3 linked regions of the Astyanax mexicanus genome follow. The protein of the gene in region 1 purifies or fractionates together with the protein of each later gene. This does not show direct contact. Links are inferred from orthologs where the notes say so. Each region holds a gene or a part of one and is shown on either strand. Other genes may lie near its edges.

Region 1 (7,576 bases):
TTTCTAATGTTCAGACTGACATTTAGCTCACAGTTCATACATATAAAGGCCTTATTCTACAAGTTTTGGAAAGCAGAGAAATGGAACAGAATATGGCAGAATAAGAGCAGATTTTGTACTAAACATTGTGTCTGCACGCTACGCTACAATATTTTCCATTCCCCTTTAAGCAGAACAGTCCATTGACAAAAAAAGCAGCCTTAGCTCAGTATTGATGATCCTCACCTCTTATTGTGTCCGGGAAAGTAACGAATATACTTATTGTCGTGTAGAGACAGGTACCGTATAGTGTCTGTAATCAAGTAAAAGTGAAAAAAGTCAGAAACAGCTGCAAGTTTTTAATACTGTTACAGAGACTGCACATTCTTATAAAATTCAAAAACAGACGACATTAAGCTCTATTACGACCTCTGGCTGTGAAACTGAAAAAGCTAAGTGTGATCCACTATAGCAGTTCTGAAACTCCAGGTTGACTTTTAGATGAGTTGGCACCACCCTGGGCAAGGCAGTAGTCTGTACAGTTAGCTCCTTGAAAGGGCAGAATCACAGACCCTCAAACTGTACAAACAACTACCTCAAGCCAGAGAGGGCACAGTCAGGGAGCCCCGAACAATCGGTCAGTACAAGGACGACAGCGAGCTTGATTATACTTACCCTTTATACTCTTAACTGGGAAAAAACAAACAATACAATCACAAACAGGGGAAAGAGCACTAAACATATTGCGGGGGGAGCATTACTAACCAGAGGATTATCAATATGACAAGCAGAAAGTCACACTGAACAACAACACAACACACAAGTTCTTAAATGAATAAAACAACATACCATCAATTTTGTTGGAGCTGTAGACGACTGTATTGGCAGCATGTGTGTATCTGATGAGGTCCACTCCATACTTTTTACTGTACAGTGTCCGTTTAGGCCTGGATTTAAAGTTTGGGAAGAAAATATTCTGTTTAGGGGAATGACACAAACTACTGACTTTCCACTAAAAGTTAAATGTTTATATTAATTAAATCTACCCTGTTACAAAGTTATATTTTTTGTGATAAATTTTGCACATTTTGTCCTTGATTTTTCACAATACTGTTACTTGCACTTCTGAAAGATGCTAACTATGAGCAATGAGAAAGTTGAATATACCCATAACTGAAAGAACACAAGACTAGAGCTGGACATTGCATTACGTTGCATTACAAACAGCATAAGCAGTGTCAGATTCTTAAATATTGCTATACACGCTCAAGCATAGCCAAGTCGTTTTTGTCGTTCATTTTTTGTAGCACTTCATCTAGTTAATAGGAGTTAATTATGCTTCTTGTTATGACAGTGTTCTGTAAACAGTTAGTATCCTCGATATGCTTGAAAAAAAAAAGCATATTGTTATATTAGGGGTGTGCTATATTGTATAGTACACAATAGAATTTGGTCTTGAAAGCAGACTATTATTTATTTTGTCACTATTCTTTGTAGAATAATATTCTGCACCATTTATTTTGTCACTTTATTATCTTTTTAGAAAATCAAAGTTCTGGTAAGACATTTTTTTTTTACAAAAGAGACAAACAGTTGTAGATTTTTTGTTTGTGCTGACTGTTTAAAACCCTGATACAATAAAAATTAAACTTTTGACATTTGTGTCAAAATTATACTTCTTAGATTAATAAAATTTGTGTTCTTTATAGACAAGAATATTGTTGTCGTAAATATATTGTCATATTTTAGGGCCACATTGCTCACTCCTATTCCTTATCAATATGATCAAATATTGTCATTAAGGGTGTGTCATATCGTATCATATGCAATAATATGGACAACATTTTTGAATATCGTGAACAATAATGTACCCTTATATATCATGCCATATCACCCACCCCTAATTATCACATCAGGGTACTACATTTTTGCTGTTTTTAGCAAAAGAAAAATTCACACTGTTCTCATTTTCCCATTATATATCTACTTCAATATAATTCATTTTACTTCAGTCCTGGATATATGGAGCTATTTGGAGTGCATTATTAGTATCATGACATTCTGATAGATCTGATAAAACTCTTATATTTTTAATATTTCAGTTAGGGGTGTGTAATATCAAATTGTATGCATTAATACAATTGAAATTTTCATAAAAACATTTATTTATTCCGTGTTTTGTCATATCACTATCGCGAAAATACCATGAAACACCGTGATAATATTTTAGGGCCATATCGCCCACCTTTAGTGTTGGGCGCTAAGGCGGGTAAACAGAGCCGGAGAAGCGTGGATCTCAGCTAGCTTAGCTACACCCTGCAATCCCTCAACATTAGCCAGCTAGCTAACTCTTTACCTAGCTACTTAGCTTAGCCACTTAGCAAAATATCACACAGCTGTGATGAACCCGAGGGCTTTTATAAACAGATACACGCCCCGTCAACATTTAATCACTCCAGGCTTCCAATAGCACCAGATTTTCTTTCTGTTAGCAGGAACTCGTGGTCCGTCTAGCTAATCTACTCGAGGCCGAGGCTTTGTGCGGCAGTAGGCCTCACAGACCCACACTGCGGAAATCCGCGCACCGGGACGGGCTTCACACAGACCGCTCACTTACTTTCCCTCCTGGCAGTCGTACAGTACAATCGAGTCGTCGTCGCTGCTCGAGATCACCGTCTCTCCGTTCGAGCTGAAGTCGAAACAGTTGATTTTGTCGGAATTCTCCCGGAACACCTTCGCGACCCTGAAGCTCCGCAGAACATTGTCAGTGAGCTTCATGCTGGCGGCCTTGCTTTATGCCTGGCCAGGCGCAGGCTGCTCTCAGATTGCGGTCAGGGAGGACGGCTGTGTTCGGGGAGCGGTGGAGAAAGTGTTAGAGGGCTCTGTGTGGGTCTGTGAGGCTTGTGAATGGAAGCGGGTTGAGTTACGGGTTTCTGGCAGGTAAAGAAAAGCCCGCCCTGGCAGCGCTGCGGTGAACTCGGTAACGGAAGGTGTTTCCTACGGGTGGTGAAGTTGGAAGTCACTCCTTCTGCAAAATGGCCGATACGCTCACAGTAGTGGCATTTCATAATAAAAGTCCTGCTACTGGAAAAAAAATATATACTGAGCTTCTAAAACCAGTTCTTTAGTGGACCTAGAGAGGGCGCCGATTGGTCAAAAGAATGATAAATAAATAGTTACAAAACTTTTTTTTTATTTTAATTATCTAATATTATAAATTTATTACAATAAAATTTTATAATGAAGCTTTTTTATTTTTTTAACGTTAAAAAAAATCTAAATTAATGTCACGTCATTTGTTAACCGTACTTGCCTTCAAGAAGTGTCGGAAATATCGTATATCACATGAACTCCACCACAAACTCGTATTTACCAGTGAGAAACTCGGGTTTTTAGATAAGCCCCGAGTTTCCCCAGTTGGGAGCGTGTCAGTAACAAGTGGTCAATAAATTAAGTAAACTGATTTAAATTGATAAATAAATTCAATAAATTGATGCAGACACTTCGTATTGTAAACTGCTTAACACTCGAATACTTTGCAGGTTGTTATTAGCTAACCAATAAAATCACCAGCAGTATGTGAAAAAAACGTAAAGGGATTAAACCCAGTTAAAGACTATATTTTCCTTTTAATTGTAAATCTCAATTCCAGATGGTGTGTAATCCAAAACTAGATTTTATATCTGTCTAGGAAACTGCCCCCGTTTTTTTTTTTTTTGTCTCTGCCTTTATATTTAAAGGGATCTGCAAAATCATGTTGTGGGATGAAATGCTCATCAGAATATCCTAGCAGAATTGTACATAATGCATAAATAATTCCAGTCTGTGTCTGAAAGAAGTCCAACAACCTGCTTAATTAGAGTGGATGTGATGACCATTATAGACCATCATTAATAATGCTCGAGGTGAGAGAAGACCTAGAATGTCACATCGGTTCTTCAGCTAATACACAACTCTATTTCTGTAGGGTTGCTCAGCTGGGGACTATTTCACAAAGCAGGGATTCTTAGTAAGCCAGATAAACTAAGCCCTGAGTCAAGCCTGCCTAATGGCAGAAGAGCTGGAGAACATTTTCTACTGCATGTTATTCCACTATCTGAGTTAGCTTTGCAGAATACCCCTGAACACTTTTCACCAATATTTGTAATTGGAAGTTTCACACCTTGTATCCTCTGATTGTGAGTCATATAAATTGGAACATTATTAGTTGTACAAGCTGATCTCTCCAGTGTGTGATAAATACTGCACACAGACATCATAACCTCACTCTTATTCACAGCTATGAGGCTCCTAGCACTCACAGCAGCCTACAATAAAAGGGACTTTAAAGCCCTGAGGGAACTCAGTGCAATGCTCTAGGAGCTTGTGATGGGTTTTTTGTTTTTGAGTCAAAGCTTTTGTTTTTGTGTGTAAGGCACTAATGCGTCACTAGGCTGAATTTTACAGTACTTTTTTTTTTTTTTACCGTTTTAGGAATAGAAAAGCCTATCTGTTTTCCAACTACTTAAGAAAAATATCAGAATGTCAGAAGATTATCTAAAGGTGAGTTTTTTCATCTATGCTTGCTTATTGCTATATAGATCAGAGCTTGCTTGTACAGTCAACTTTTAACACTGGAAATACGATAAAAGAATGCAGCCACAAATTAAGTAGGCTAAGACAGCCAATAAACCTGTGTATTTACAGCAACAGGTGTTTTCTGTTATTGCATGCACTTAAGTAGCAGAGCTATGTTCATATCTGTTTTCTAAAGGAGGAAATGTGCACTCTTGGAGACACATACATGTTCACAGTGGACGTGAGTGCATTCTCGCCAGAACAAGTCATTGTTACCTCATCACAAAACATCATTCAGGTTTCTGCTGAAAAGGTAAGCAAAAGCATAGAGTAATCTAACACGTATTCTGTGTGATTCCATACCAAGAAAGATCAAGGATATTATTGTGAAACCCTTTGGAAATACATTTAAAAGTTCTTTATTTTGTTGCACTTGATAGAAGTCCTTCAATGAGAATGGGGTAGGATGCTGACACTAATTTGTAACATTAATATGTTGCTTATGTTTGAGTTATACTAAGTAAATAATATTTGCTATATAAATAATAAGCTTTGTAGTGCACAAATGGTGACTTTATTGCAAGTAATCGTGGAATTAAAACATTCCAAAACTACCATGTCACCACTTTTTACCATGAAAAACTATTTAGTAAAATATTTTATTTCATTAATTTACTGCTTAAAGAAGACATTAAGTGTTTAAAAAACTATAGATCAGAAGTATATATACAGTTTACTATACAACTTGAACATGAACCTATTAGTTAAATACATTTAGAAGACATACATTTTTGTCTCATTGTAATATTCTGCTTTTATTTCTCAGCTGGCATCAGATGGTACCGTCATAGACACATTTTTCCACAAATGGCAGTTTCCTCCAGATGCAGACCCCATGTCAGTGAGCTCATCCTTGGGGCAGGGTGGTGCACTTACAGTTACAGCTTTTAAACACAAGACAAAAGGTAAGAAAACATATTTTTGTCAATTTAAATTTTAATGCATGGATTTCTACCCTTGCAGAATATTTTTTTTCTTTCTCTATATGATTGCAGTTAAGTGATCCATACACCTTTATGATGGCCTTGACTGAAGACTGAAGAAAGGCACTTCAAATTATTCCAATAAATAATATAAACATTTTGAGATGCTTTATTTTAAATGCAACAACAATCAGTACATTAAAAAAGTGTGGTGACCAATGTTTGAACTACTTTAAGACAACTTTCTTATTGCTGTTGATGTAAAAATAGACTGTGCACATTGATGTATTAAAGATTCCCATAATCGATGGCAGAATGGGTTATGAAAGACTATATTGGTAACTATTGGTAAGTGTAAATGTAAAATCCAAATATGTAAATCTTTTGAAATAATAGTTTTTGTGATGTCACAAAGACAGTCACAAAAATACATATAGTATCTGTCAAAAGTTTCTCATTCAATGTTTTATTTTTTCCCCTACATTGTAAATACATACTGAAGTCATCCAGACTATTATGGATCACATAAGGAATCATGTATTAACTTAAAAGTGTTAAACAAAGCCTTTAGGTGGGATTCTGTTAACTTCTGAGGCTGGTAACTCTGATGAACTTATCCTGTGCAACAGAGGTAACTCTTGGTTTTCATTTCCTAGGGCAGTCCTGATGAGAGCCTCTTTTATCATAACATTTTTGATTTTTGATTTGTTTAACTTTTTTGTTTACTAAATAGTTACATATGTTCATCTTCATTGTTTGGATGATTTAAGTATTAATCTACAATGCAGAAAATTAAAAAAATGGAAAAAAACGCCACTGAATTTAAGGTTTGACTGTTATTGTATATTCACCTTTATATTTATATAGTTATATTTAACTGAAAGAAGTTTTACTCCACCCATAAGCACAGTAACAAAAATATTGTTGAAAAATGTACAAGAAATGTATACAATCATTTTTGTTTGGTAGAATATATGTCTTTTACCCCTAATTTAACAATGAATAAAGCACAATATCCAACTACACTAGCGTGACATCAGTGACTCGAACCTGAAAATCAGTAATGGTTATTCAGAAGTTGCACTTATAAACATTTACAAGCTAAACCTAGTTGTGGACAATATTTTGCTTCAAATTGAAAATCCCCGTAGTCAGTGTAGTCGACTAGGCTTGATCCCGGTCTGAGGAAACTGTCCCTTAGGGGTGTATCTTTACACTGTGTAAAGTTCTTTCTCCAGGTCCTTCAGCTTGTGATTTGAGATCTTGCACTGTGCTCTGTGATGTTAAACTGCACAGCTACACAATAACCTCTCGGTTCGTATCTTCTGGATGAGGCTGTGGGGGTAGAGAGGCAGATGAGGCGTGAATGCAGTCCTGATGCCACAGGTTTTCTGCTAAGGCATTTAGCAGGGGTGCAATCTCACCAAACCCTTCACTCACATCACCTCCCACCCGGAAGACTGGCACACGAGACACCTCCTGAAAGCGTTTGATCTCACTCTCTGTCACATCTGTGTGCATAAACAAGTCAAATCTGTTCAATCTGAGTTAAGGGCAATGCTTTTTTTTGAAGGTCAGATTCTTTTGGTCAGAGCTTCTTTCTTCCTTAGTTTTTGTACAGAAATTACTCAAGCAAACAAACATCAGCATAAGATGGAGGAAAAAAATATCTAGACTGATGGGTGTGAACAGAAACACACACTGTCAGTTCTCACAATATGATTGTTGTATTATTGCAATATGTTGCTCACAATAGCAAGGATATCAGAATACTGTGACTCAGCGATACTCGATATATATCGCAAGTCAATTCTCTATGACATTTTACATAATCTGTGCTACAGAACAGAATAAAATACTCCTAAATAATACTACTAATTAATGGTAAATAAAATGAATAAATTAATACAAATATTAATATTTTGCCACAAATCAGTGTATTGCAATATCAATCTTTTGTCCCACACTTACTCAGTCAGTACATACACTGAAATCGTTCAAACGTAAATCGTTAAAATGTCCACCTATCAGAAGTGATTGAAGGATACTTTGTACCA
Region 2 (7,349 bases), on another chromosome or scaffold:
TCTGTAAAAACACACACACACTGTAAACACTGTAATCACTAACCACCCCCAACCCTAGACTGACCCATCTAGCAGAAGGTACAGGTACAATGGAAGTGCTGGCGGTAAAGTTTTAGCCAGTGATGGAGCTGTCAAAAGTTCCGTCAGGACCACTGTTAGCTCCGACACCTCTGCTGCAACTTTTGTGGATCTCCTATACCTGTTCTCCTGGACCTTCCCTGGACATTTTACTGGGTGTCCAGTGCCTTATCTGAACTTTCTAGACTTCTGGCACCTCTTCTGCCACTTTGCTAAAACTTTATACTGTACCAGTCAAAGTTCTACTGAACATTTACTGGGTTTTTCCAGTATTCAAGTTCTACTAGAACTTTGCTGACACTACTACACCTGTATAAATTCTACTGGACCTTCCTTGAACCTCTGCTACTTCTTTTACTAAAGTCCGCAGAAGCGCTGCTGGACCCTGGCTGAAGGAAGGGTACCAGGTGTCAGTGTGTGAGACTGACCGGTGAGCTGAAGTGCTGCCCATCATATCTGTAGAGCTTGTGGGAACCCGTCCGGAGTGCCGGGTCAATGATCAGCTTGTAGCTTCTCCAGTGATGGCCGCGTCTCTCTCCCGAACTGTTCTCCATCCCGTTCATCGGAGCTGCTCCCATACAAACAATTACACATTATTACACAATGTATACAAACATTGCACATATATACACACAAACACATGGCAACATGGGGGGGGGTCCCACTCACAGAAACACAACTGAGAGAGAGAGAGAGAGAGAGAGAGATAGTGGAGAGACATAGGGAAATAGTGAGAAAGGGATGGTGGAGAGACATAGAAAACCAGTAAGAGAGAGAGATGGTGGAGAAACATAGAGTAACAGCGAGAGATGGTAGAGAGACATAGGGAAACAGAGGGAGAGATAGTAGAGAGACATAGGGAAACAGAGGGAGAGAGAGAGATAGTAGAGAGACATAGGGAAACAGAGGGAGATCCTTACCTGAAGTCCTGCGGTTGTGCTCCTCACTCACCCTGCCTCTATCTCTCTCCCCTGGCCTGGACATTGTTGTGTGTGTGTGTGTGTGTTCTCTCTGCGCGCGGCGTCCTGCTCGAGTCCGTGTGTAACGGTGAAGCGTCGAGGCGCGTGAGTTCGTTCCCGTGCGTCCAGCTCGCGCCGCCGCGCTTTTACATGTTGCGAGCTGTGCTGCGGGCTATATTGCGGGCTGTGCGGGAGCTGAGGGATCCGCGGGGCGCGCGCCTGCACATACTGTGTGTCTCGAGCTGCTTTCTGCTGTCTCTCCCACAATACACCACTACAGCCCCGCGAGCCGCGCAGCCGCAGCACTTTCGCCACAAGACCGAAAATTCGCTTCACGCGCAGAAACCGCGCTAAAAACTAAGATTTCATTCAATTTATCTGCGTAGGATCGCGAGCAGATATGCAGTATTTTCCTACACGTTGTTTTGATCTGCGCTCGCGGTTTGGCGGAATACGGGCGCGCTGGGCGGCGCGTGGAATCTGCGGGATAGATTTACCTGGATGGCAAACAGAAGATGGACATTTCTGTTTATTTAAATATAAAACTCTCCCCGATTTACCCCAACATTAAACACAATTTCATATCAACACATTAAATAAACATATACAATTCTGAATACTGAATAATGTACTGAGAGTTAGTGTACATGCTAGGGTAAAAACCCTGTAGAGGGTTTAACGCTCTAGTTTTAGTTTTATTATCCATTAACTACAATCTCTAATTAAAACTGTGTAAAATTCACTATATCTTCTCATATTATATTACTGTTAGCTGTATGTATTACTTTTATTTACTATTGCTATTATTGTATTATTTTGGTCAATATTTAGTTTTAGCTTAATTTTAACTTTTCTTTTACCCACTTTAATTGATCAATGTATTCAGCCTCGTTATTAACGAACTGTTCATTTGGTCACCTTATATTATTAGATTGTTTTTAAAGGGGTTTTAACTTGTTTTGTTGTTTTTCTCTTGTTTAAAGGTGCATAAATATTATTTGTATTTAGTTTTTTTCTTTCAATCCCTGTCATTTAGAATAAGGGTCACCCTCAGTGTGAAAATAAAGACTGACGTACTGACTAATTAATGGATTGGTTCATTTATAACAGTGTTTTCCTCGTGAAACCCGCACTGTGTGTTAAATGTGGTGTTTCTATTGTATGTGTTTTATACATATATGTGTGTGTGTATATATATATATGTTTGTGTGTGTGTGTTTTGAGGGCAGTTGGCTGGTTAAAACAGCAGAGCCGGTTCTGTCCAATCAGAGAGCATCAGCATCGCCTCTTCGTTTTCCACCCGTTTACGCCAAAACTCCGCCTCCTCCGTACTGTGATTGGCCGCTGCTTCGCGCTGGCGGGCGCGCGTCCAATAGACGACCCCCGAGTACCCGCTAGGCGTCAGCCAATGCCCGAGCGGGGGGCGGGCCCTGCCGGAAAGCGGGCGAGATTAGAAACAGCGCATGCGCCGCTCCTATTAGAGCCCCAGCCTGCAGCTCGTGCAGCAGAGAGTGGGAGCGCTGAGCTCGCGCTCTGAGGCCTAATGCGGTTCCTTTGTTCCTAAAAGGATCTAAAGCTTCATTCCAGCTCCTCATGACGGACTATCACACATACTGTCTCTCTGAGTGCAGGATATCTGAGAAGAAGGAAGAAATGTTGGACCGAATCCCTTTGACATTTTTTAAACTTGTTCTCTTTTTTCCTCTCTCTTTCTCTCTCTCTTTTCTCTCTTTTTCCAGGAATCCATCTTTGTCCTGGCAAACTAGGTCATGGCACACCCATATCACAGCATTTTACTCTACTTTCTCACAGTGAAATGCTACTGAATAAACAGCTGATTGACAAAAACAAACGTTTTAGAAAGAAAAAGAGAAAAAAATACACATGCAAATGTTACCATCAGCTGCGTAGGCAGGCCCTCCCCTGCGCAAGGCCGAGCATGTGAATGTGCCTAAGAGTAAGTTCACTATTATCTTTATTATTATTATTATTATTATTATTATTATTATTATTATTATTATTATTATTATTATTATGTATAGATGTGTCAATGTGTATTCATATATAAATATATTTTATTACAAACTTCACTTGGATTGGCTGTTTTATTATTTACCATTTTTAATTTCTTTTGTATTGTTTTATATCTCTGGTCCCTCAGGATACATGGCACTGAGTGATGGCTGCTCTCTACCTTTCTCATTTTTCTACACTCAGCCTGCTGTTTATCTATTTAAACTCATTTCAGAGGAAACAGAAAAAAAAATCAGGCCAGAGGAAAAAAGGTCGACGGCCTTTCACAAAGGAAAGGAAGAAATGCTGAATCACAGCCTGTGGTTGTTCTGCTAAAACCCTGTAACTCGTTTTACAGAAACTGCCACTGTGTTTTTATTGATCAGCCTGTTTATTCAGTTGATTAATCTCCTAGTAGTGTTTACTACAGTAAAGGACTTTTTCAGGATTATGTAATGATATTAATAATCCATCAGTCGTACTTCAAAACAAAAAATAAGACAATTAAAATTCTTTCTAAAGCATTCTTAACCCGTTTGACCTTGAGTCAAGGGCACATTCTCATATCTGTAATTTTCCCCTCATCCTGCAGAACATTATCTACCCTGCTGCTGCTGAACCACCGAGATCAGCCCGAGAACACAACCCGTAAAAAGCCCATTGAGGATATTTACCTTCGCCTTTCTGCTGAAATAATTTTATCAGGCCTAAAGGCAGGAGACTGTACGCTTTCACTCCCATCGCCGTCCTGTAACTCGACTGATTTAGATAAAAGGAGGTCAGACCCGCTCTAAATCCTCCTTTATCAATTCATATTAAAAATAAAATATCAGCAGTGAAGGAGCCACAGAGCGCAGACTGAGGAGCCAAACTGCTGCAAATCAGCTGCAAAAATTACTTTTACAGAAAATAGATATGCAAATCATCTCTCTCTCTTTTTCCTTCTCACTGTCTCCTCGCCCTTCCTTCAGTCTCTCTCTCTTTTTCCTGCTCAAGCATTTGCTGTTCATTTTTTAGACAGCAGCATGTTCACATTTCCATCTGTGGGCTGGGGACTGCCTGTTTTTATTGATAAGGTAACAATGATGACAATAAAAAACATTTTACTGTTATATAGCCATTAGGCATAGGAATAACATTATTTTTACCATACCTGCACATACTTTGCACTATACACATACTGTTTTATGTTAATCTTATATATATATTTTCAATTGGTTTGTTTTTCTTTGCATTTCTTAATATTTTTATGTACACATAATATTAGATTGTTAATGCTCATTTATGTACTTCTTTCTGCAATAGGTACATTTCCTTTTAATAAAGTGATCTTTCTGCCAATCTGTTTATCTTTAAATCCATCAATCTTTTTTATCTGTTTATTTCTTATCTAAGTATAACTACAGTGTGTGTGTACTTTAATTAAAGTGGAGGAGCTCAATCATGTGCCATCTGAGCATACAATATGCATATATATGCATATTTGTGTAATTTTATTTATGTTTAATATGCTTACATAAATGAATATTATGGGATTTAAGCCGAATTATGTTTATTACATTCTTTATAAAGGGTATTGTGTGCATTTTATACTTTAACAAGTGTTCAAATGAAGTTAAAATCAAGATATCAAGATTTAAATTATTTTAGCATTTATTTAACTTTACTGTGTGTTTTTAGGTGGTATTAGTGTGTGTGTGTGTGTGTGTGTGTGTGTTCAGTTCTGTTTAATGGCGGATCTGCTGCTGCTGTGCTGCAAAATGGCGCCCTTCCCCTCAACAACAGCACCATTCACTATTCACCACATACTGCCCAGACTATACCCTCTAGAAATTAGTGTTATAGTGTGTTTACAGTCATTTTCTGAGGTAAATTTAACAGGAAAAATGCGATATATTGTTAAATCCACCGAGTTACTGAACTGAAAAAAAAAACACGTTTTATGTAGTAAAAAACATTTTCTGAGGTAAATATCTCGGTGCTTTACAACCGCCTGTTTTTGGATAAACTCGCATCAAATGCTTTATTTCTTGATTGTGTCACCATTTTTAACTCGAAACAGCCTTGAATTAGCTTGTTTTTCGAATATCTCGTTCCACCTTAAATTGTCCAGCAGTTACATTCAGGCGACGTCGCGGCGCTTGAATGTAACTGCTGGATCATTTAAGGTGGAACGGGCGATTTGAAAAACAAGCCGATTTGAAAAACAAGCCAATTTGAACTTTGTCCCATTTCTTTAAAATGATGTAATTTATCACTTTTCTCTAGGAAAAGATATAAAAATATATTATAATTAATCCTCGTGCGTTTTCGAAGCACATTTAACCCGTGTGGAAAGTGTAGGTTAAATGTCCTATTAGTGGGTATGTCAGCTGGCTAAAATGTTATTTTTAGAACTATAGCTCACATTATAGCTCACAATATTCATAACAAAAACAATGGTAAAAATGAGATATATAAAAAAAGATTTAACCACTTTTCGATTACAGTTGTGAGCTGATGAGAATAAAAACACAAATCAACAACATGCATGGTTTCTAAAGCTTATAAAATGATAAAAAATGTGATGAAATGTGCCAAAATCAGGGGTAAACATTTACCTCCCTTGCCTTGCCTAATGAACAAAACAGCTTTCTGAGAGACTAAGCTTTACCCTCCCTCTTTCTCTCTCTCTCTTTCTAGAACATTCTGTGCAGTTGCCTTCTATGGCCACTAGCTGTGTAGAATAGTGTGTGCAGCAGAGAGAGAGTGTGAACACACACACACACACTGTGTTCCTGTTTTTACTGAATGTGTTAAAGGGAATTCCACCTTAAAATGTTAAAATTGTGCAATTCATGAAAATATCACTACGACCCAAATAGCACATAGGTCTCAAAAGGTCTTTTAAAGGTCTCATTCCATCTTTATTCATTCATTGTAAAATCTCTAGTTGTGGTATCTAGTATGAATAAATGCCATGTGAACTGTTTTTTTGCGGAAAAAAGTGCTCTGATGATCCAGTAAAATGTTCTTTAGTCCTGTGGACAAGTGTGTGTGTGCAAACATATTGCCTCTGTTTTGCTAACAACACTGCATCCACAGAGGTGGGTAGCCCAGGTCCAGAAGGTACAAATCCATTCATGGATTTTTTAAGTTTAACTAGTGTAAGCAAACTGTTCTAAACATACACCTACCTCTCAATTGTACTTCACTGGTAGTGTTCCATAGACAGTTTCTAACCATTTGTTTCTTAGCTCTGAATTACTGGGCAAAGCATATAACACTGATGTGTTATTGGCACAAATAACACAGGAACAAACTGCCATGTTCCTAATGCTGTTAGCTCCTATCTGACAAGACATGTAGCTGCCTGGCCGCCTGCCTAGCTTTAGCTCCGCCTGTAGGCGGTCACGAGCCAAGGTGGGCGAGGCCATGAATACTAATTCCCAGGTTGACGCAGATAGGTTGCTTTTCCTGATCGACTTTTACTAGCTACTGCAGACAATGGAGTTTGAAGAAAGGTTTCATGTGCAGCATTTATATACAACTCAGAGAGACCTATTGTATTTTACAAGGAACAAGAAAAAGTGAATTTTAGCAGAAGGACACCTTTAATGTTGCCAATAAAAAAGCAACCTTTAAGCAATGGTGCTATTCAATGTTTTATCAGAAGTCAACGATCCAGCATGTTGTGTTAACTTACCAGTGCCCAAGTTCACTCCGTAAATCCTGGATTGAGGTGAAATAAAGTATATTTGCCTGATATACCTGTCTTGCAGATATTTAACTGGAAATGAAAACACAGCAAAGGAACATTGAATCAACATTGATTCCACATTGTGCTTTTAACGTTAAACAACGTTTAGAACTTCTACCTATAATAACTTTTGACCATAGGAAACCCCAAAATCCAACATTAATTTACCTGCCTTTGCTATCTGGGAACTATCTGTTTTTCATTCTTCTACTAAGGCCAAAAAATTGTACCAGGGAGCAACTTTTTTGCTATTTGAAACAAAAGTAAAATTCTATTTTCCAATTAAATATCAGCAAGAAAGATTATATCAGGCAAATATAATTTATTTTACTTTAATTGTGGATGTATGGAGCACATGGTACCAGGATATGTTGGATCATTGACTTCTGTTAAAAGTTTTAAAAAAATATCCTGCATTTTGAAATATCACTATATATATTGCAGACAAAACAACTAATGTCCATTTTTGCCAATTTCGTGCAGCCCTAACCAGTACCTCAAAGTTGATAGGTGTGTAGATATCTTGTGCGATCTCTCTGACTAGTCAAAAGCATTTTAGC
Region 3 (7,947 bases), on another chromosome or scaffold:
CAAAGGCAAGTTTTCGTCTACAGACTCCTCAAAAGTAGTGAAACGTGAAGACCTGTTCTTCTGATTTGGCTCCACGTGCAAGACATCTGATGTTTAGCATCAAAAAATGAATAGAAGATAACCAATAATTCCTGCATTCCTTTTCTGGTATTTTTATCTAAATGTCTTAAAAAACTTAATACCCAGTTTCTATTGCTGGTAGCTGTTTTTGGATGGTATAAACTGGCTTTGATGGCCAAGGTGGTTGAAAAGCTGCTCATCCAGAAGAATCTACAGTATGTTGCATTTTATTTTGGTCATGCTTGACCATTTTGATTATGCTGGTATACAGGCTACATGTGCATGTATTACAAAACCCTTTTTCTCTGCCTTAAAATAAGTTATTTGCATTCTGAAAACTTTGCGGGCTTTTTCAGTGTCACGCCTGGCGCCGAAAGAGCTCCTGTCCCTTCCACACTTAGATTTACTTGCGATCCCTAGTCTCTGGACTACTATCCCCAGAATGCACAACACACTGATGTCACTCCCTCTCACAATCACGTCACTGTACGGGCACCACCAGGAAGTCAATCACCGGAATATTGATTACACCTGTGTACACCCATATATATATATCTTCACTATACACACACCCTACTAAATATTGTAAGTTTAACACATACACATACAACTTGTTTATCCCATTGCCTGTGTTACCCTCTTGTGTAAAATTTTGTTTTGTTTTGTTTTTTTAATTCGGCTTCTGCGTACCATTTGATACCTTCTGCTCGTGTATGACCTCATGTAGAACTGAATCTTTTTTATGGTATGTTTGCTCTCTGTTGCTGTTGTATACTGGTGTTGTCCCTTAACATTTTGACTATCCCCTGTACCACTACTTTCATTAATAAACCATCTTATTTGTATCCTGTAAAGCCATCACGGACAGTAAAATGTCTTATCAAACATGAAACCTTTTTATTTAATGCTTGAACAGAAATCCTCCAGATTCAGGCATGTAATATAAGGCAGAAAATTGTCAAAAATGCTGGCCTGTTAAGGGGTTAACCAGCTTAACCACCTTCAGCTGGTCATGCTGTTTATTTTTCAGCTGGGTACAGGGCAATTCTGGTGTCACACCACCCATTTTTAGGTGTTTAAATCCTATTTATGGTAACATCTCAGACTTGGAGGCAGGATGTAAATGCAAGGAGGTTTTAATAGATGCCATAAAGCAAAATAGCAAAGAATAAAACAAAGCTGAGACTAGAAAAGTAACTAAAAAATATCTAGACTAAGATCATACTTTCAATAACTGAAGAAAAACCACTAGCAAAAACATAATAAAAAAAAACACTTTCAACACCTTCAGACCTGAATTATGTTTCAGTGACAGAATATTATATGAATGCTGTTTTCTGTCTGTAATGTATGCACAGAAAGACAACAAAACAACAAAAACATTAAATTCATTTTAACGTCCATTGTATTGGATTGCCTGTTAACATTTTTATTTTATTTATGATAATGACTTTGATAATAACCTCCTGTAAACAGTGAAATAAACGTAATAAAAAGTTCTATCACATAAAATTAGGAAAAAAGACCCTAGTGGTGGGCGGGAATATTCTACTGTTTCATTAGCTTGCAAACTTCTTATTGACTGGTTCATGATCTGTTCTGATGGACAACAGGTCTCAATTAGTGTAATGTGCAGCAAAACATCAAACAAAAATAAATGATGTCCATTGCAATGGACACAGGATCTGAAACAATGTTTTAACTAATGCAGTGTATAACCAGTAGGTGGCACAAGATCTACATCTATTCATTTTCCCATAAGCAGCTGTGTGGAACTCACCTGAGATCCTTCTCACTAGAGTTAACCACTGAAAAATAGGCTCGAGCTGGATAAACTTACTGACCAGTTCTGCTCTTTATTTACATAAAGTAAGCATAAACAAGCAAGCTGATCAGCATGACCAGCAAGACTCATCAGGTCAACCATCACAACCAGCTTGACCAACATCACTATTCTGGTCAACCAGCATGACTGAAATGCAGCAGTACACACTATACTGGTCAAGATTTGGTTCCCCAGTTTTTGATTGGATGGCCAACATTTCAATCAAACTCAACTCAACAACTCAACCATCAAAGGTTAGCTTAGACTTCAAAAATACAGCCTTCAGCAAAAGCATGAATTGTAAATAAATTGTAAATGTAAAAACGTGTTTTTATTAATCATCTTTCAAATCCAAATGCTATAAAGAAATAAACACAGAAATTAAACCTCTGCTTTTGAGTTGGTTTTGTTTTCTGTTCTTTTCTAATAAACACGGACACTTGCAGATACTCACAGACGTTTATTTGATAAGGGGATAGGCTTACAAGAGTAGTGAGGGGCAGGCAGGGTCAGTAACAGAATGGCACGAATGTAAACAACATACCAGAGAAAATTATCAGGCAATCTAGGGTCATCCATGAAAAATCCTGCAAACAAAAAGAAGAAGGCAAAAGGGAGTCAAATATACAAAAATAAGGTCGGTAGCAAGGTAATGAATAGAATGGGCAATGGTAATATAAAACAGGTTGGTAAAAAAAAAAAGGAAAAAGCCATGGGATGTGTCATAGGAGAGCTAGAAAAAATAGATTACTAAATACTCAGCAAAGAGCGAGCCAAACTAAGGGGTATATATACAGGGAAGAGCAGGTGAAAACAATCAATAGCTTGGAGAGCAGGAACACTGTAGCATCACGTGATCAGTAGTGTGAGAGAAGTCCAGTGTTGGGTGTATGCTAGGAAATGAAGGTTTTAGGGACAAGTTCAGAGCCTGGAGCAGACAAGCCAGATGGAGAAAAACTAGTTTAAGTGATTGGAAAACTTGCATTCCTCATTGGAGTGAAGAATTCAGGGTGCTTTCAATGTTTGAACAGGCAGTAAACATCACTTTGAACTGCTAATTGCTGGTTAACCGCCCGACCCTTTTACATCTGAAAAACAGCACAAAAACATATTATTATTATGTCTCCTCTCTACAGATTAAATGTCTTTTATTATTGTTTTTGTCTACATGATAGCCTTTACAGTTATCTGCATTTCTGCATGAATGTGATTAGAACCTTCTAAAAGAAGGTAAAGTAAACCAAATAAAACAAATGCTGCAATAATATTAATGCTTTTACATTTATTTATGAAATAAAATTGTTGAAAATTAAATATCTTTGTTTGAAAAAGTATATGAACCATTGCTTTCAGTAACTTGTGTGACTTGAGGCTTGGGGATTGGAAAACATTTTGTATTTCTCCCAATTTAACCAATTATTAAGCTGCATTTACACTGTACTGCCATGTCAATGCATATAAATGCACTGCCCCGCTCCAACTGGTTGCATGTGGGCGTTACAATGACATTTCGTGGGTTGTACATTTAAATCAATTTAATAATTGTTGGTTAATGGTTTAATACAAGCTTTATTTCCTATTTCCTATTATTTTCCTGATCAGAGTCCCTGTAAATCAGCAGGGATTGATCATAAAAGACTGGAAAGCCCGAAAACGCAATTTCTATCGTTTCCTCCATGCATTTGAAACCGTTTAAAACCATTGTGTTCGATAGATCCATTTGCATAAACTTCACCTCGCAGTGGAACAGTGTAAATGCATTACACAGCATTAAAAGATCCAATCATGTATTTGGGGTCATCGTCCTGCTGCATGACCCACTTCACACGAATCCATACAGATCCATTGACCATTTCTAAAGTTGTAATTTCAAAAGTTAGATTTTGACTGACTCTTTTGACTGTCTGTCTGCCCGTGCCTGTATACGTCAGTGTTGATGCTGATTAAGGACATTATTCAGAGACTCCATGTAATGATATTCAGCTACTTTCAGGTGTCCCCCTCACTGCTGACACAGGCTTGTTCAGTTTTGTACCCGCAGAAAGAGGAAAACATTGGCAACAGAATGGGATGCTCTGCACATGCTCTGCAAGGTCACAGTGTGCCTAGAACAAAACACTAAATAAACTGCTCCACAGAGCTGACGGATGTTTTAGTTGTAGCTTTAATCTTTAAATATAGTTCACCTATGCTGTTTCACTAAACTGACTACATTTAAATTGTTTACACACATTTTTATAGCTCTATGAAGTAAATAAAATATGATTTTAGGTGTGTATTTATTAGGATAAGATTGGGTGACACTATTTGTGGACACCCCTTAAACCCCAGCTTAAGGTGTATCAATTGCTGACACTGGATGTTTACACCAGGAGTGGCATAAAGTTATCCAAAAGCAGTGTGTAAGACTGGTGGAAGAGAACATGCTGAGATGCATAAAAACTGTGATTAAAAAACTGAGTTATTCCACCAAATATTGAATTCTGAAACTCTTAGAACTTTATAAATATGAACTTGTTTTATTTGCTTTATTTGAGGTCTGAAAGCTCTGCATCTTTTTTTTTTGTCTCAGCCATTTCTCATTTTCTGCAAATAAATGCTCTAAATGACAGTATTATTTTATTTGGGACTTGTGAGAAATGTTGTCCGTAGTTCATAAAATAAAACAACAGTGTTTATTTTACTCAAACGTATACCTATAAATAGCTAAATCAAAGAAACTGATTCAAAAACTGAAGTGGTCACATAAAGTGTCATTTGATTGTCTTAATATTAATTTACAATGTAGCAAATAAATGAAATAAATACAGAAAAACACCTAATGAGAAGGTGTGTCCAATTTTTTGACTGGTTCTGTATAGCTACTGTATTATATAAGTTATATTAATACATTAATAATTTGTAAACTGTGCACTATTTTGTGTGTAGATCCGGTGCTGTAGTAAGGCTGACATACAGGACAGTGCACTGCGAAAGACACTGCTGCCTCCTCTGTCTTGACCAGTGTATTCTTCCGCCACGCCGGCGCCTGACATACGTATTCCTCCGCCCCCGCCCGGCGGTCGACTCGCAGGCGCAGCAGCGCACGGAGGCTGAAGCCGCTCAGGAACTTCTTAAGCTAGCTGAGATAAATGAGCCTGAAACACGTTATTTAGCGTATATTTCAGCCTATAAAATATATAAAACAGGTTTAATGAGGCTTTAGCCGCACATTAGGTGGTAGAACGGTAGATAGGACTATAAGAAAGGTGTATATTTGTGTAGTTTAGCTGGCGAGGTATGGCCGACATCGACAAGCTCAACATAGACAGCATCATTCAGCGCCTTCTGGAAGGTAAGCTGGCTAACTAAACTCAGATTTTAAAGGTTTTAAAAGCTTAATATGTTGAACAACAAGCTAGAACATATCTCACAAGACTGTATATATTTTTAAATAGGATTATTTGTGTGTTAAATTCTAGCTTAAATAAGGGTAGGGGGTCTGTAGCCAGCAGGGTCTAAGCTAAGCTAGGTTAGCTAGCTGGTGGTTAACCTAGCTGACTGTTAGCTTTTGCTGTCAAGCAGGAACATGTTAATAATAAATATCGATGAAAATTCACCCCTTAATTCAGTGTTTATTAGTCCTTTTATAAGTTTTAGTTGTGTCTAATTTGATTACTATTATTTTAAAGACACGATATAAGGAAATAAACAGAATTATTGCCTGTTAACGCAATTTTTAGCTTTGAAACGTAGGAAAATTGACGTATTGTAGGCTAGCTAAATGTCTATAGACGTAGTTTTATTGTCTGAATGCAGTTAACGTTATATATTGTCAAGCTAGTTTTTGTGTTTAATGTTTTAGGGTTTTTCGGGGTTTACAGTTAAAATCTAACTAAGCAATTTATTTTATAAAAGCAACAATATAAAGTAACATAGTAATGCAATTTATGAACTAGAAATATTTGGAATTTGCTATTTTAAGATATTTCTTTCGCTGATATAGATAAGTGACTATTCAGTAGTAATACAAGAAAAACTTTTTATTTAAAATAGCAAGAATAACAGAGTAAGGTCTATTTTGTGGAAGATATATTGTTCCAGAAAGTATTGCAATAAACGATATTATTGTCATTTTAAGACCATTAAATTACTTAAATAATAAGAACAGAATAGGATAACAAAGCATTTAAACACTTTCAAAGACAATACAATTTTAATAAACACATGACTGACTTAAATCATATTAACCAGCTAATTTGAGTGTTTTAAGTGTTTTAAAATTTAAATGTAACTAAACAATTTATTTAAAAAAGCAAAAATATAAAATAATATGACTATACAGTAGAATATCAGTAGTGTGGTTTAATTAATATTAGTACATTATTTTAAAAACTAAATATGAGGAAATGCTCAAAAAAAACAGTAATAAAAAAAAATAATCTGAATAAACTGGGTTTTTTTTTGTATAGGAAATATAACAAATGAACAGGCCTGTTATTATAAAAACAAATTGAGGATGACATAATTGTCCCAGAAATTATTGCGATAGATTACATTTATTGTCAATGCCACGTAAATAATGCGAATAGGACATCATCATAACAAAGCAATTAAACACTTTAAGACAACACAATTTAGTAGTCTAATAGTTAATAGTTAATCTAATAGTTAATCATGATTATAATACTAAAATACTGTTCACTGTTATGTATGTGAACAAACATACAAATAAACACAAATGTTTAATCATGTCCATTTATTGTTATTTTAAAAACAAGATATGAGGAAACGCACAAAATGAAAATATGTATTTTTTTATATAAAATAGCAAAAATAACAGAGTAAAATAAGCCTGTTGTGATCATTTTTTTTGTAGACGATGTATCGACCCAGAAACTATTGCGATAAACAATATTATTGCTATTTTAAGATCATTAAATGCCATAACACTGGCATAATAAGAATAGGATAGCATAACAAAGCATTTAAACACTTTCAAAGACAACACAATTTTATTTAATAATAACTAAAATACTAAAACTCTTGACTGTTGTATACGTGAACAAATATACAAATAAACACAAAAGATGATTATCACAAAAATTAAATGTGTAATATCGTTTTTTTTTTTGGTGCTATTATATTCACAAGGCGATTTGCTTGTTTTTAGGTTGTGGGTTAGTACTGGGCTAGATATTGTTATTTGTGGGATTTTTTGCAGGTCGTGTTGTAGACCAAGTTGCAGAATATACTGCAATTTAAAACTGTATAATTGTATTATTTCTTATGTTCTATTATCTGACAGTTGGCAAAACACTTTACTGACACTTGTACTATGTATGTGACCAATGAACTTTTATTTTTTGTTAAAGAAAACCTACATATAAAATAGCTATAAACAGAATAGGTGATTAGTAAAAATATTGGGTCAGTTAAATAATATAAATACTTAACTAAAAATAAATATCAGTTGGAGGCTGAATGGAGGATGAATATATTAATTTGGCTGTGTTTGTAACCCAATATGATTCTCTGTTTGTCTAATTAAATGTTTGCATATAACATATAGTTGTTGTTAAAACTTATGCTAAAAAAGTACTAAAATACTGAGGCTGACTTAAGTCAAATAACATTTTGCTTTTTGCAGAAAAAAAATTCTATAAATTGACAAAATTATTCTATTTAGCAGCTAATAAATGAACAAAATCATAAAAAGCAGCCTGGGCATCAGTGAATTGTTTATTTTGTTTTCAGGTTAAGCTGATGGAAGTGGAGAATTATTCAGTGAATACTTTATGCTTGTCTTTTTGGGTGGCACTGCAGGGGGTAGCCGACCCACTTTTCTACATGAGATTTGTCCTGTTTAAAAGCTCGGAGCATCTCTCACATCAGAGCTAGCGATGCTGAGGACTGACCAGCAGCTCCAGCAGATTCACTGCTTCGGCTGTACTTTTGGTTCCTGTGTGTCCTGCAGAGCTGGTGGACTATTCCTGGTTTTGGTTTCAGAAAAACGAAAGATGAACCTTCCAGTTTCCTGGAAGAAAATTTACAAGGGGACTGACCACAGCAGTCAGGAATTG

Evidence for each region. The genes of interacting proteins can lie anywhere in the genome.
Region 2: the proteins of wdr82 (region 1) and setd1ba purify together in Homo sapiens (affinity purification with western blotting; 4 studies listed by BioGRID, with this or other methods). This does not show direct contact. The link is inferred for Astyanax mexicanus from reciprocal best matches to the Homo sapiens genes WDR82 and SETD1B.
Region 3: the proteins of wdr82 (region 1) and ppp1cc purify together in Homo sapiens (affinity purification with mass spectrometry; 5 studies listed by BioGRID and IntAct, with this or other methods). This does not show direct contact. The link is inferred for Astyanax mexicanus from reciprocal best matches to the Homo sapiens genes WDR82 and PPP1CC.

The regions. Positions count from the first base shown.
Region 1 is NC_064412.1:15,876,550-15,884,125, forward strand, and holds the start of wdr82 (WD repeat-containing protein 82), read right to left. Parts: upstream 3,006-7,576; 5' UTR 2,758-3,005; coding exon 2,597-2,757; intron 927-2,596; coding exon 829-926; intron 293-828; coding exon 226-292; intron 1-225. Other genes in the region: heat shock protein beta-7, read left to right, coding at 4,501-4,521, 4,733-4,849, 5,363-5,501, 5,592-5,599; cplane2 (ciliogenesis and planar polarity effector 2), read right to left, coding at 6,816-7,053, 7,568-7,576. UniProt on the Homo sapiens protein: Regulatory component of the SET1/COMPASS complex implicated in the tethering of this complex to transcriptional start sites of active genes.
Region 2 is NC_064427.1:22,483,262-22,490,610, reverse strand, and holds the start of setd1ba (histone-lysine N-methyltransferase SETD1B-A), read right to left. Parts: upstream 3,018-7,349; 5' UTR 1,063-3,017; coding exon 999-1,062; intron 647-998; coding exon 507-646; intron 2-506; coding exon 1-1. UniProt on the Homo sapiens protein: Histone methyltransferase that catalyzes methyl group transfer from S-adenosyl-L-methionine to the epsilon-amino group of 'Lys-4' of histone H3 (H3K4) via a non-processive mechanism.
Region 3 is NC_064408.1:10,500,286-10,508,232, forward strand, and holds the start of ppp1cc (serine/threonine-protein phosphatase PP1-gamma catalytic subunit A), read left to right. Parts: upstream 1-4,930; 5' UTR 4,931-5,164; coding exon 5,165-5,219; intron 5,220-7,947. UniProt on the Homo sapiens protein: Protein phosphatase that associates with over 200 regulatory proteins to form highly specific holoenzymes which dephosphorylate hundreds of biological targets.